3 linked regions of the Ovis aries genome follow. The protein of the gene in region 3 interacts with the protein of the main gene of each other region in a pairwise test. Links are inferred from orthologs where the notes say so. Each region holds a gene or a part of one and is shown on either strand. Other genes may lie near its edges. The genes, in order: AGR3, ISCU and NUP62.

Evidence for each region.
Region 1: the proteins of NUP62 (region 3) and AGR3 interact in binary tests that used the Homo sapiens proteins (3 or more experiments, as listed by UniProt). The two-hybrid records come from large-scale screens. The link is inferred for Ovis aries from reciprocal best matches to the Homo sapiens genes NUP62 and AGR3.
Region 2: the proteins of NUP62 (region 3) and ISCU interact in binary tests that used the Homo sapiens proteins (3 or more experiments, as listed by UniProt). The two-hybrid records come from large-scale screens. The link is inferred for Ovis aries from reciprocal best matches to the Homo sapiens genes NUP62 and ISCU.

What each region holds. Positions count from the first base shown.
Region 1 is NC_056057.1:26,341,600-26,345,349, reverse strand, and holds the start of AGR3 (anterior gradient protein 3), read left to right. Parts: upstream 1-1,030; 5' UTR 1,031-1,076; intron 1,077-3,457; 5' UTR 3,458-3,480; coding exon 3,481-3,589; intron 3,590-3,750. UniProt on the Homo sapiens protein: Required for calcium-mediated regulation of ciliary beat frequency and mucociliary clearance in the airway. Might be involved in the regulation of intracellular calcium in tracheal epithelial cells.
Region 2 is NC_056070.1:64,528,844-64,532,593, reverse strand, and holds the start of ISCU (iron-sulfur cluster assembly enzyme ISCU), read left to right. Parts: upstream 1-1,299; 5' UTR 1,300-1,310; coding exon 1,311-1,424; intron 1,425-2,881; coding exon 2,882-2,995; intron 2,996-3,750.
Region 3 is NC_056067.1:55,999,792-56,003,541, forward strand, and holds the start of NUP62 (nuclear pore glycoprotein p62), read right to left. Parts: upstream 2,541-3,750; 5' UTR 1-2,540. UniProt on the Homo sapiens protein: Essential component of the nuclear pore complex. The N-terminal is probably involved in nucleocytoplasmic transport.

The sequences.
Region 1 (3,750 bases), on a different chromosome or scaffold from region 3:
AATAGCAAGGCAATGGACATGGTTGTGCTTCATCCAGTCATTTCTATTTATAGACACTGACATTTGAATTTCATACAATTTTCACATGTCACAAATTATGATTCTTTTTATTTTTCACCCAAAAACATTTTAAAATGTAAAAACCACTCTTAGCTCTTGGTCTGCACAAAAACAGGTGGGCCAGGTTTGAAGACTCTGCCCTAGATCACTTTAACAACAATTAAGTCCAAGAAGTAGAACGTGGCGGGGTCAGGTAGATGTGTGTCTGTTGGGGAGGGGGTGAACAGAAAGACAGGCAGTACTGGGGACGGGCAAGAGAAGCTTACTTTCTTTTTGACGCAACTCCATACTTTAAAAATGCTTTTCTGTAATCATAGATTAATTATAAGAAAAAATTTTAAACTATTAGATAAATATAGTATCTAATTACCCGCTTTCCTTTTTTTTTTGGGGGGGGGGTCATGGTAAGGTAAGGGATTTTATACAGAGTCAAATTCTTAAAATGTTAAATTTTAAAACAGCATATTTCTCTTTTCCTCTTTCTCAGAAAAGAAGGGGGGATCTGCTCTCTTCAGCTATTAATTCTAGTTCTGTAAAGAGAGTAAACCTTAGGAATTCCTCTGTTTTATATCTAATCTCAAGCCTCACTGACCTTTCATCGAGAACAATAGTGCGCACACAGTTCCGACATTCAGACCAGTTCCTCCCCTCCCACCACCCCCCTCCCCCACCTTTTCCTGGTGTTGAACTCTAGCCAAACATTAAATTACCCTGGGAAGTAAAAGGTGGATGAAAAAAAAAAAGTACAAAGGTGGTATTTGGCCTCATTCTATCAGGACACTCGATCTCAATTTAGAGAAAGAAGACTCTTTCTTTCTTAGTGTGAGAGGCTAAGAACTGGAGAACAGCACAGATTTTTCAGACAAGCCCATTTTTGTAAGTTTGCAGGTGGACTGTGCTCTTGTTTCAAGGCAGGTGGGGCTCTAGTTCAGGTGTGTGTGTGTCTATAAATCCACACCCATTTTTAACCAGAAACATCCAGAATACACTTCCAGCAAGAGCACTGACTATTTCAGGTAAGCAAGCAAAATTTCCAGATTATTTAATCAGTGGTCAAGCTCAGTTGTATTTAAAGGATCACCTTTTCACTGTGTAAAACTGAGGCCTTCAGTAAGTCAGAGGGAAGTTCAGCGAAATTTTTCTTCTTTTAATAAATGAGATTTTCTTTGTTGGCTTCATACTTTCGTCAGGCGAGCGTAGGCTCCTCAGTTTTTGTCTCGTCACAAAAATTTGGAACGATGCTTTTATTCTCTACTTGTATTAATGTTACTATAATAAATTAACATTGATCAAAAGTGACCCTTTAAAAATTATGCTGCAAGTAACAATTGTTCCTCTGTTTTCTTTTTTTAATTTTCATATTGAAGTATAGCTGACTTATAGTATGCAAATTTCTGCTGTACAGCAAAGTGATCCAGTCATAAAGGACATATACGTAAGGAATATAAAGAATATATACATATATATACACATTTTTATTTTAAATATTCTCTAAGGGGCTCTCTTCCCCAGGAAAGAGAACGGAGGGATGGAGTGAAAGTTTGGGCTTAGCAGATGCAAACTTATATATAGGATGGATAAACAACAAGGTTCTACTGTTTAGCATAGGGAACTAATTTTAATATCCTGTGAAAAGAATGTAAAATTTCACTCCCTCTTTTCTTTTACAGAGAATTTTTAAATATTTAAGTAAATGACATACGTTAAATTACTTTTGAAAAGTAAAGTACTGTCAGAAAATGCTGCCAGTGTTTATAACACCTAACTGTAGACATGTGGTTATTGGCCTCCGAGTGCAGTGTGAGCTGCTCCCAGCACATGACCACATCATGTTCATCTGTGTCCCCCAATTAGATTAACCCAGGCATCTGATACTAGAGGATTGTAAGTCATCATGTTCTATTCACCAGGGAAATGACTACTCATCCGAAACAGTAATATATAAATTGACTGTCTTCATTATAGGATATATTTAATACCTCTTTTACAATTTATCAGTGTCAAACAGAAAACAAATACTTTCATTTTTTTAAGTAGAACACTCTGACAATTATACCTAATAACTTGAAATCTGAAAAAAAAAATCAGTTCCTATTTAAATTTGGCAGCTTTAAACTAAGAAAAAGGTGAAGTTGTAACTTTTTTGCTAGAGATTCTACCTACTTATTTCTGTCTATATCATAAAGAATTTTTTCTCATGCTTCCTCCAGATTAACTGCTTCTTAACTCCTTGCTTCTAAAGATACCTGGAAGAATCTTAAGGCAACTGGGGGCTTTCTTCCCCAGAAAAGAGAATAAAGGCTCATAAAATTTTACAGTCAAATTCAGAGACTTTGAGACTTCAGGGGCTCAATCACAGATCACCTAGAAGCTCCCTGGACCCAAGTTAAGACCCTGCCTTAGATGGTTGCTTCCATTTCTACAGCCACTTTCACCCCAACAAAGCCTGCCCTCCCCACATTGGACTCTGTGTTCAGACTCAACCATCTTTATCCCCTCCTGAAATCTACCCTTCCTTTGTTCCAACCTTTACAGTACACGATGACATCCATAAGGTAAAAGATGGCATTCTGAAATGTTTTACAGTATTACCAAGTTATAAGAACTTAAACTGTGATACTTATCAGCACCATGATTATTGTTTAACAGGGTTTCTCAATACAAAGAAATTTACAAGTGAATCCTTTCCAGATTAGGAAAGAAAATAATTTAAATAGAACCAAAGCAACCATTTTCAATCCAGGAGAGAACCGAAGGGATGCACCACTGGCAAGAGAAAGATACTGAAATGGGAGGCCTGATTTTTAAACAGGGCAGAGTTGCACACTGAAGGGCAAAAGGCTGAGTAAACGATGGGAGGATAAAGATAAAGGACTATCAAGGAACTGAAAAACAAGAACCTCCATATTCCATTTTTCCTCCCATTTCCATTTTAAGCACTAATTTTTCATGCCTCATCTTACTGTCTTGGTATAAAGTTAAAATGGTGTTTTAATCAAAAGGCAAAGATTATTAATGCATGACACTTGTCACCTTCCCACTGCATTCAGCAGGGGCAAGCCCTTTAATCAACATGATTTTATCTGAGATTTAAAGCAGCACTGTAAGCACTCAAAAGCTGTCAGAAATAGGCTTTGGGTGACTATTTGGGTGTCAACGTCATTGTACCACCCACAGGAAGCCCAAACACTGTGGCTTTTCATCAAGTGGACTTTTATTGAATTGACTGCATTTTTACAATAATTTAAAAATAAAATGTGAAAGTTCTAGATGGTTGTACCATGTCAACTCACACAAGCAAAGCAACCTGTCAGCCTAAGTTTGGTCTAACTCTTAAAAAATGTCTTGATGACAGCCTGAGGTAACCTACTAGATTCTGATATTTTTTACCATCCAGTTCTGAAGGATTCTTGAGAAGACATGATGTCACACTCAGCTCTGGTCCTCTGCCTCTTATTCACCACAGTTTCTTCCAACCTTGCCATTGCTATCAAAAAGGAAAAGAGACCTCCTCAGACACTTTCAAGAGGTACTGGAATTTCATTTTATTTTCTAAACTCAGTCATTTGGATTGTTTTAAAATTCTTCATCTCTTGCCCACAGTCTAGTTATAAAACCAACTCAATTAACTGGAATTTTTTGTTGTGCATTACTTGAAAACAGGGGAAAAAGAACTCCAGAAATTATCAG
Region 2 (3,750 bases), on a different chromosome or scaffold from region 3:
CCCGCCCGTCTGCCACCTGAAGAGAAACTATGCGCCTCGGATGACATGGAAATCTCGAAATACACGAGATTCATGTTATTTTATATACTTTCAGTAGCTCTTGTTCGAATAAAAAAGCTCACCAACAGGGCATGCGTTTCGGCACAACGTCGGACAGCAGTTGGGTCCTTAGGCAGGAAGTGGAAGCCATAGAGGCAGCCACTGAGTGAGCGTGATGGTTGTAGTTAAGGGTTTGGCGCCATCTTGAGAAGGTCAAAAATGATTCTTGGAATAAATATCTTACCACCTAGTCTGACCTGGCGCGTGAGTCAGTCTCCCCAGCAACTGAGCCTCAAACGCGCAAAAAAGTCTTAAGTCCTCAGGGAAGGATCGATTGCACCATTCATGAGAATAACTCATTTCCCAGAGATTCCTTCTCTTTATCTAATGCCTGGCGCCTAGCACTTAAATACACGTGAGTTTTGATTTTATAGGATCATATTCTGCAAACCAGTATCAATAAATTACATTAATAAATATTTACTTAGAATCTCTTCATTGCTATATCTTGTGATTTAATCTGTGCCAGTTTGCTTTTTAATAGAGACATAAACATATACAATTTTTAAAATCAGAGCAAAGTATTCTTTCCTTTAGTTAAGCTTCTCACTTTAGTGGTAGAAAAGCCTTGGTGGGTCTATTTATTGCCTTGCTCCCTCAGTAGCAAGCTTAATTGTGTCGTCTTGGGTTGTTTTCCCAAAGCACCCTGACAAAAAGTAGATACTCAACACAAGATTTGCTCAATGGATGAAGAACTGTCCTTGAATTAGTACAAAAAAGATCGAGGTTTACAATGACACTATGTTTCACTTAGCAGCACACAGCCAGTTAGGAGCAGAAATGGGATTCTAACTCAGGACTGTTCAAGTCAGAATCCCAACTGGGCCCCTCTGGGCAACCTAGGGCAAGTTACTAAACCGTTCTGATCCTCAAATTCCTAAGCTGCAAAATAGAGCCAAGAAGGGTGGACTGGTTGAGCCTCTGCGCCGAAATAGGCGGTGGGGCTTTGTCAACGCAAAGCTGGGTCCTGATTTCCTGCTCAAGGATCCTCAAGATTCAGAACCCAGCTCGGTGGACCAGCCCTCGAACGATTTCAAACCTTTAGGCTCCGCGCCGCGGGAACAAAACGGGGACACGTGAACGCAGCGGGAGGGCGCAGGCGCAAGGTCGCCGGTACTTTAGAGGGTGCGCGCTCCCAGCAGGGAGCCGACTCGCGCACGCGCCCCTCCCCTCGGCCGCGCGCTCCACCTGCGCAGGCGCAAGCCCTCAAGATGGCGGCGGCTGGAGCGGGCCGTCTGAGGCGGGCGGCGTCGGCCCTGTTGCTCCGGCCCCCGCGCCTGCCCGCCCGGGAGCTCTCAGCTCCCGCTCGGCTCTATCACAAGAAGGTAAGAGCGGCCCGGGGGTCCGCACCGGGCGGGGGGGCGGGCGGGAGTGCGAGGACCCCCCAGAGGACTTAGGGGTCCTAGCGGAAGCCCAGCCTAGTGGCCCTCCCCGCTCTGCGCGGCCCTGGAACCCCGACTGCAGCCCAGGGCCCTGGCCGCCCCCAGCCCTGGATGGAGGGGCCTTCCTCTCAAGAGGCCGCCTCGAATGGCTTTCCCTCGCTGCGCTGGGGCGACTAACCGCGCCTGAAACAGGAATGACAGCTCCCGCTAGCCTAGCGGCAGCTGCCCTCAATCTGAAACATCCATCCGGCCTTTAAGCCTCTCGGCTGCCCAGGAAGCAGGGTCCTGCTCTGTCCGGGCTAGCCGGACACACAGCGGCCGAGTGACCTTGGGCGAGTCACTGCCCCGCGCTCGTCAGATGGGGTCTGGGCAGCGCCCCCGGACGCGAGTGCATTGCCTGCGGAGTCCTGGGCAGGGCGCTTGGCACAGGGAGGCCGCTGAGGGTCGGTGTTACTGTTGCAGGAGCTCAGAGCCTCCGAGTGGACATGGACGTGTAACCAACAGTCGTCACGTTTTTGTGTTTGTTTTGGTTTGGTTTGGGGGTGGTGGGATGCTGTGAGTTAAGACAGGTTGGGTAGTTGGCAGCCACATGAGACGTGTCTCGCTTGGGAACCGGTTAAGTAAAAAAAGTGCGATAAATCAACCCCGGGGCAGAAAGTCGAAACTGGATATTATCTTACAGATCCTTGGACTTGGAAGTCAAAATCCGTGGTCGGATAGGTCGGGGGAAGGGGACTGGAAGTTCGGAATACTTAACGACTAACTGGGAAACAAACCGCAAGGTTTTTAAAGCCTCGCATGTGCCAGTTTGAATAGATGTCTACTCTGTTCTGGCTTCCACGCGTTTGCGCACAGACCTCACTCCCCGCGGACCCAGGGCTGTATATTGTTGACAGTACACGCGGAATGACCTGGCGCGCGCAGCCTTTCCGCCACCAGAGCGCGCTGCGGCACCGCAGATTTCAGGGCCCCGAAATACAGTCATGGTGGTTATTTATCACCACACACAAATGGCTGTATTCCATAGCCTTGTTCCTCCCGTAACAATCTCCATGAGGCTTCTGGGACCATACAGACGTGTAGGTTTTTGCATAGTAATCATTCTTTTGAGAATGGATTTTCTTCCGAAATTACACAGGTGCTGTTTGAGCCCAACTCTGTGACTTGGGTGGTTAGAGGTCAAGTAATTAGTTGTGGTTCAAAACCCCACAGAATTAAGACATGATTTTGCTGATTTTTCTCCAGGATCCCCATATCTCTTAAATCCTGCCCAAGTGAAATTTGGTATTTAGTGATGGCCTGCCAGGTCCAGCTTGCTGACTTGAAGGAGCTTGCCATCAAAGTCGGGGAGATGAACAGCAAAAAAGAGTGACTGTGATTTCTCTTCACTCTCATTTCAGGTTGTGGATCATTATGAAAATCCCCGAAACGTGGGGTCCCTTGACAAGACATCTAAAAATGTTGGGACTGGATTGGTGGGGGCTCCAGCGTGTGGTGATGTCATGAAATTACAGGTACCCCTGGTTTCCATCTTTACTGGTGGTAACGGTGACCCCTTTGCTTGAACGGTGTTCTGTAGTTGACAGAGCATTTACATGTCCAGCATTTCCTCTGGTCCCCATCTTGATTCCTGTGAGGTGGGAGAAGTCAGTGTTACAAATGATTCCAGCAGGGGCTGAATCCTAGTCCTCCTGGTAAACTGTGCTGACCCCTTCTGACAAAATAAACAGATCTCACGTTCATACTCACTGTATCAGTTAGCTATCCCCAGAGGGACGGGAAATGCCACAAATCAAACTCTGCCTGCCCCGGTGGAAGCGCCCGGCACTCTGGTAAACCATAGCTTTCTCCACATCTCCTTCGTCACTGTGGTGGGAAGCTGGCCAGGCGGCTTCATGCGTATCTTGGAGAACAGAAGCAAGGCAGGGAGGAACACACTGCATGCAGTTTGACGTCAAAGGGGAAAGCACCAGCCAGTGACCTTCACTGCCAGCTCTGGCAGTGCTTAAAGGCACACACTGACCCAGCAGCTGGGAAGCCAAAAGTCAGGCTTGGGAGTGGGAGGAGACTGGGCAGGAGGCACACTTTGTGGCTGATCTTTGCCAGCGAGGCCTGTATAATTCTGTATAGTTGTTCCTGCTTGCAACTTTTCATTGCTGAACTCTTTGAAACAGAGGGGCCTCAATAATCAACGCCCAAACTTTTAAGTATGGAAAGCAGGAACAAAACTCTTAGGAAATGCCCTGCGGGCCTCCCTAAGTGCCGGGCT
Region 3 (3,750 bases):
CCTCCCGAGTTGTGACAAACACCAGTATAATACAAGATGCCCACGGGAAGCAGGGAGGCTGTGTGAGGGGTTCCCCGGGAACTCTCTGTATTGTCTTTGCAGCTTTGTAGTCAATCTAGTTATTCCAAAACAAAAAGTTAAAGAAAAATACTCTACCTAGTCCACCAGTTATAATCTAGAAGACTGGGGGATGACTGTGCCCCCACTGCCAGCAGCCTGTCCAATGGTCCCCCCTAATCCCACACGCTAGTACTCAACACTGAGGAGTGGCAGTCAGTCCTTACTTTAAAGACCTTTAGAAGCACTACTGCTGGGCACTAGAGATAAACCATATCCACCTTAATAGTAACAATGAATCCCTTATGTAACACCTTACTCTGTGCCAGGCACTAGTCCAAGGGCACCTGACCTGGATCAATTCATTTAATCCTCAATACTAAAAAATAGGTACTGTCAATGGCCACATACATTGGCCATCAGCATGTTTCTACTAACTCAACTCCATATTTGATTCTAGAACTATTAAGGAAAGCAAGGCACTTGGAAGGGAAATTGCCAGTAAGCTAGTTAAGTGGGGTGTAGTCAGGGGTTGAATCCAACAACTTGGCTCCAGAGTCTGTGCTCTTAACCGTTACTCTGTTGCCTCAGTAAAAAACAGCCCCTATAGGGCAAGAGCTCAAATACTGGCAGAGTGGATAAAGTGAAGGGAATGTGGTCAGATCCCAAGAAGGACTTCCAGTATGCAAGAGTAGCCTGTATTAGGGATGCAATATACAATAAACCTCATTAATACCACCATATGTTGTGTATGAAAGCTGTTACAAGAGTAAATCCTAAGAGTTCTCATCACAAGGAAAACAGGATGTATTTCTTTCTATTTCTTCAGCTTTCTATCTGTAGGAGATAATGTTCACTACACTTACTAATCAATTTATGAGGTATGTTCAATCAAATCACTATGCTGTACGCCTTAAGCTTACCCAGTGCTACATGTCAATCATAGCCCAATAAATCTGGAAGGAAAAAAAAAAAAAGAGCATCTGAACTTAGAGGAAGAAAAAAAAGCCTGTCTTCATTCTCAGATAACTCTGAAGATCAAGGTCCCTTGTCTTCTCAGGATCTTGATTCAGTCTCATAAGCACCAGGAAAAGCTCAACTCCAGGTGTAATGTCCTGCTGTGGACGAACGGAGGATGGGTTTCTGCAGCACAGGAAAGACCCACAACCACTTGGGCTGGGAGGGTCCAGCCTACCGGGAGGGGATGGTTAGGAAGTCCCATCTCTTTGAGCAATGGATTACAGATCTTCCTATTTCTGGCAGACCTGCACGATTGATGGTGGGGTCGGGGGAGCTGAGGTAGAGGACAGTCTGAAAGGGAGCTTAGGTGGAGGGTATGGACAAAAGAAGGAACCAACTGACCTGAAAGGAATGCTGAGGATAAGCGTTGAGGGTAGGTGGGCAGGAGACAGAGAAAAGATAACAAGCCTGAGGGTGATAACTGACTCGCTGCACCAAGATGGGGCCGAGCGTCCATGTTATGAATGGGAAAGGGGGGGGATGGCTGGGAATTACCTTGGAGGAGGTAAAAGAGACACAAGGATGACCTTTTAGCAAGTGTTGGATGGTCTAGCGTCTGGGGTTCCTGCCAGGGGGGTCGGAAGGGGTGACACCGAGCCCCAGGGTTCCTTCCTACTCACAGTAAGAGGTTGAGAGAGCATGTACGAAGTGGGATCTCAGTTTCACAGGCAACGACTCATTTGATTCTGACAAATGACCCCACCAGGTACAACTGATTATTCTCCGCGTTTTACAGATAGTCTCCTGTCTAGGCTGCTAGAGAATTCAGGTCTTTTGCCCAAGGCCACCTTCGCCGGCCTGGGATTTGACTGGAGCGCGCTCTGTGACTCACGCCAGGTTCTAAGCCACAGGAAAGGTTCTCAGAGTGGGACGGCAGTTGAAGGATGAGGAGAGTAGCATGTGGCTGGCCGGAAATTCGCGAAGCAGGGGAAAGCAAAGGAGAAATGAACCGGCCGGAGTCTCGGGGAAGACGGATTATCGAGTCACCAGAATCAGAGGGAGCAGAGGGCCGGAACCCAGAGTCAGAGAGAAGGGAGGGTCGGAACCCCCGGAGTCGGGAGAAAAGCGGGGCTAGATCCACGAGTAAGAGGAAGGAGAGGCCTGGACCCCCGGGATCGAAAGCCGGGATCAGATCCCCGAGGGCAGGGGTGCAGGCCCGCCTCCGCGTTGGGGCCACGTGGGGCGGGGCGCGGAAGGATCCGCGCAGGCCGTGCTGCGCCGCCCGCGGTATATCTGTGTCCAGTCCCCGGGGCCACCTCATTCCCCATCCTCAGATCACGGTCTCTCCTCACTCTACCGCCACGCCGCCTCTGCCCGCATACCCCCGGCCATGGCTCTGTAGCCGCGACCCCTCTGTGCCCCCGGCCAGTCTCCGCGCTCACCGCGCCTGCGCTCTCCGCTCCTGCCGTCTCCCTTCAGCCGAGGCCGCCGCCGCCTCTCCTTTGCGCAGCCATGGAGTGAGTAACCGCTCGCCCCTCCCTCTCCAACCGCCTTTCCCGCCCTTTCGAAGCTCGCGGCCCTCGCGACCGAGCCCGGGGGGGTGGGGAGACTGAGGAATCACGGTCGCGCAGGCGCAGAAGAGGGAAGACGAGCGTTCTCGCGCGACGGAGCATGCGCACTCGGGCGGGTGCGTTCTTCCGGACAATTGGTGTTTAAAGAGGATAGCCACGTGCGTGTGCGCCTGCGCACTAGTTCCCAGACGCGGTGGCTTCCCCACACCCCCGCCCTGACTGTCTGCGAGCAATTGCTCATGCGCAGCTGCCCACCTGAGGCTGTATTTTTTGCTCTAAGGGCGGGCATTAAGCAGCAGCACATGCTCACTGGCCCCCAGGAGGGCGGTGGCTACGGCACCGCTCGGGAGATGGCGCATGCGCTGTAGCCTTCAACGAGAGAGCCGCCTCCCACTTTGCTCAGGCGCCGAGCTTATCTTCCCTCCCTTTCATTCAGGCGCCTGCTGGGGCGGGGACTGGTTTAGATTGACAGGGGAGAAGGCGGGGATTAGAAACGACCTGTAGAGGGGAAGGAGCTAGGATAAGAGGCGTCTCCGAGGACGGGGTTGGGGGCGGGGTTACCCATTGTGGAAGGGGCGGGGCTGACGAAACCTTTTGCTGAGGGAGGTGGGGTTTCTGCCTGAGAAAGAGGCGGGGCCTCTGGGGAATCATCGGGGAGGGGTGGAGCTAAAATGTACCGTGGGGGCGGGACTTTGAGAGAGAGTGGCGATCAGCCCCAAAATTTAAAGGGAGAACTGCGATTTGAACGGATAACTTTGACGACCGGGCGGGAAAAGGGGGAATTCCCATGGGAACAGATTTGAGTTGGAATCTAGGGAGGGTGTGGGGCCTAAAAGCTATATTTTAGAGGAAGAGATGTAACTGGAAGAAAATTCCCCAGGGATTGAGTGTGGGTTGTTTTTTTTTTTTTTTTTTTTTAAATGAAAGGGAATATTTGGGGTGAGTGGGAAGGACTTTAAGGAAATTCCCCTGGGAGACCATTAGGTTTCTGTTTTGGAAGGATTGGGTCTTGGGAATTCTGAGAAATAAGCCAAATGTAAAGAGAATTCCCTTGGGAGTGGGTGGGGCTCAGATACAGGAAAAGGACAGGTTTAGAATTCTGAAAGGATGAGGAGTCCTGGGACTCTGGGGAGGTGGCTTGATTTCCCTGTGGCTTTGGCAA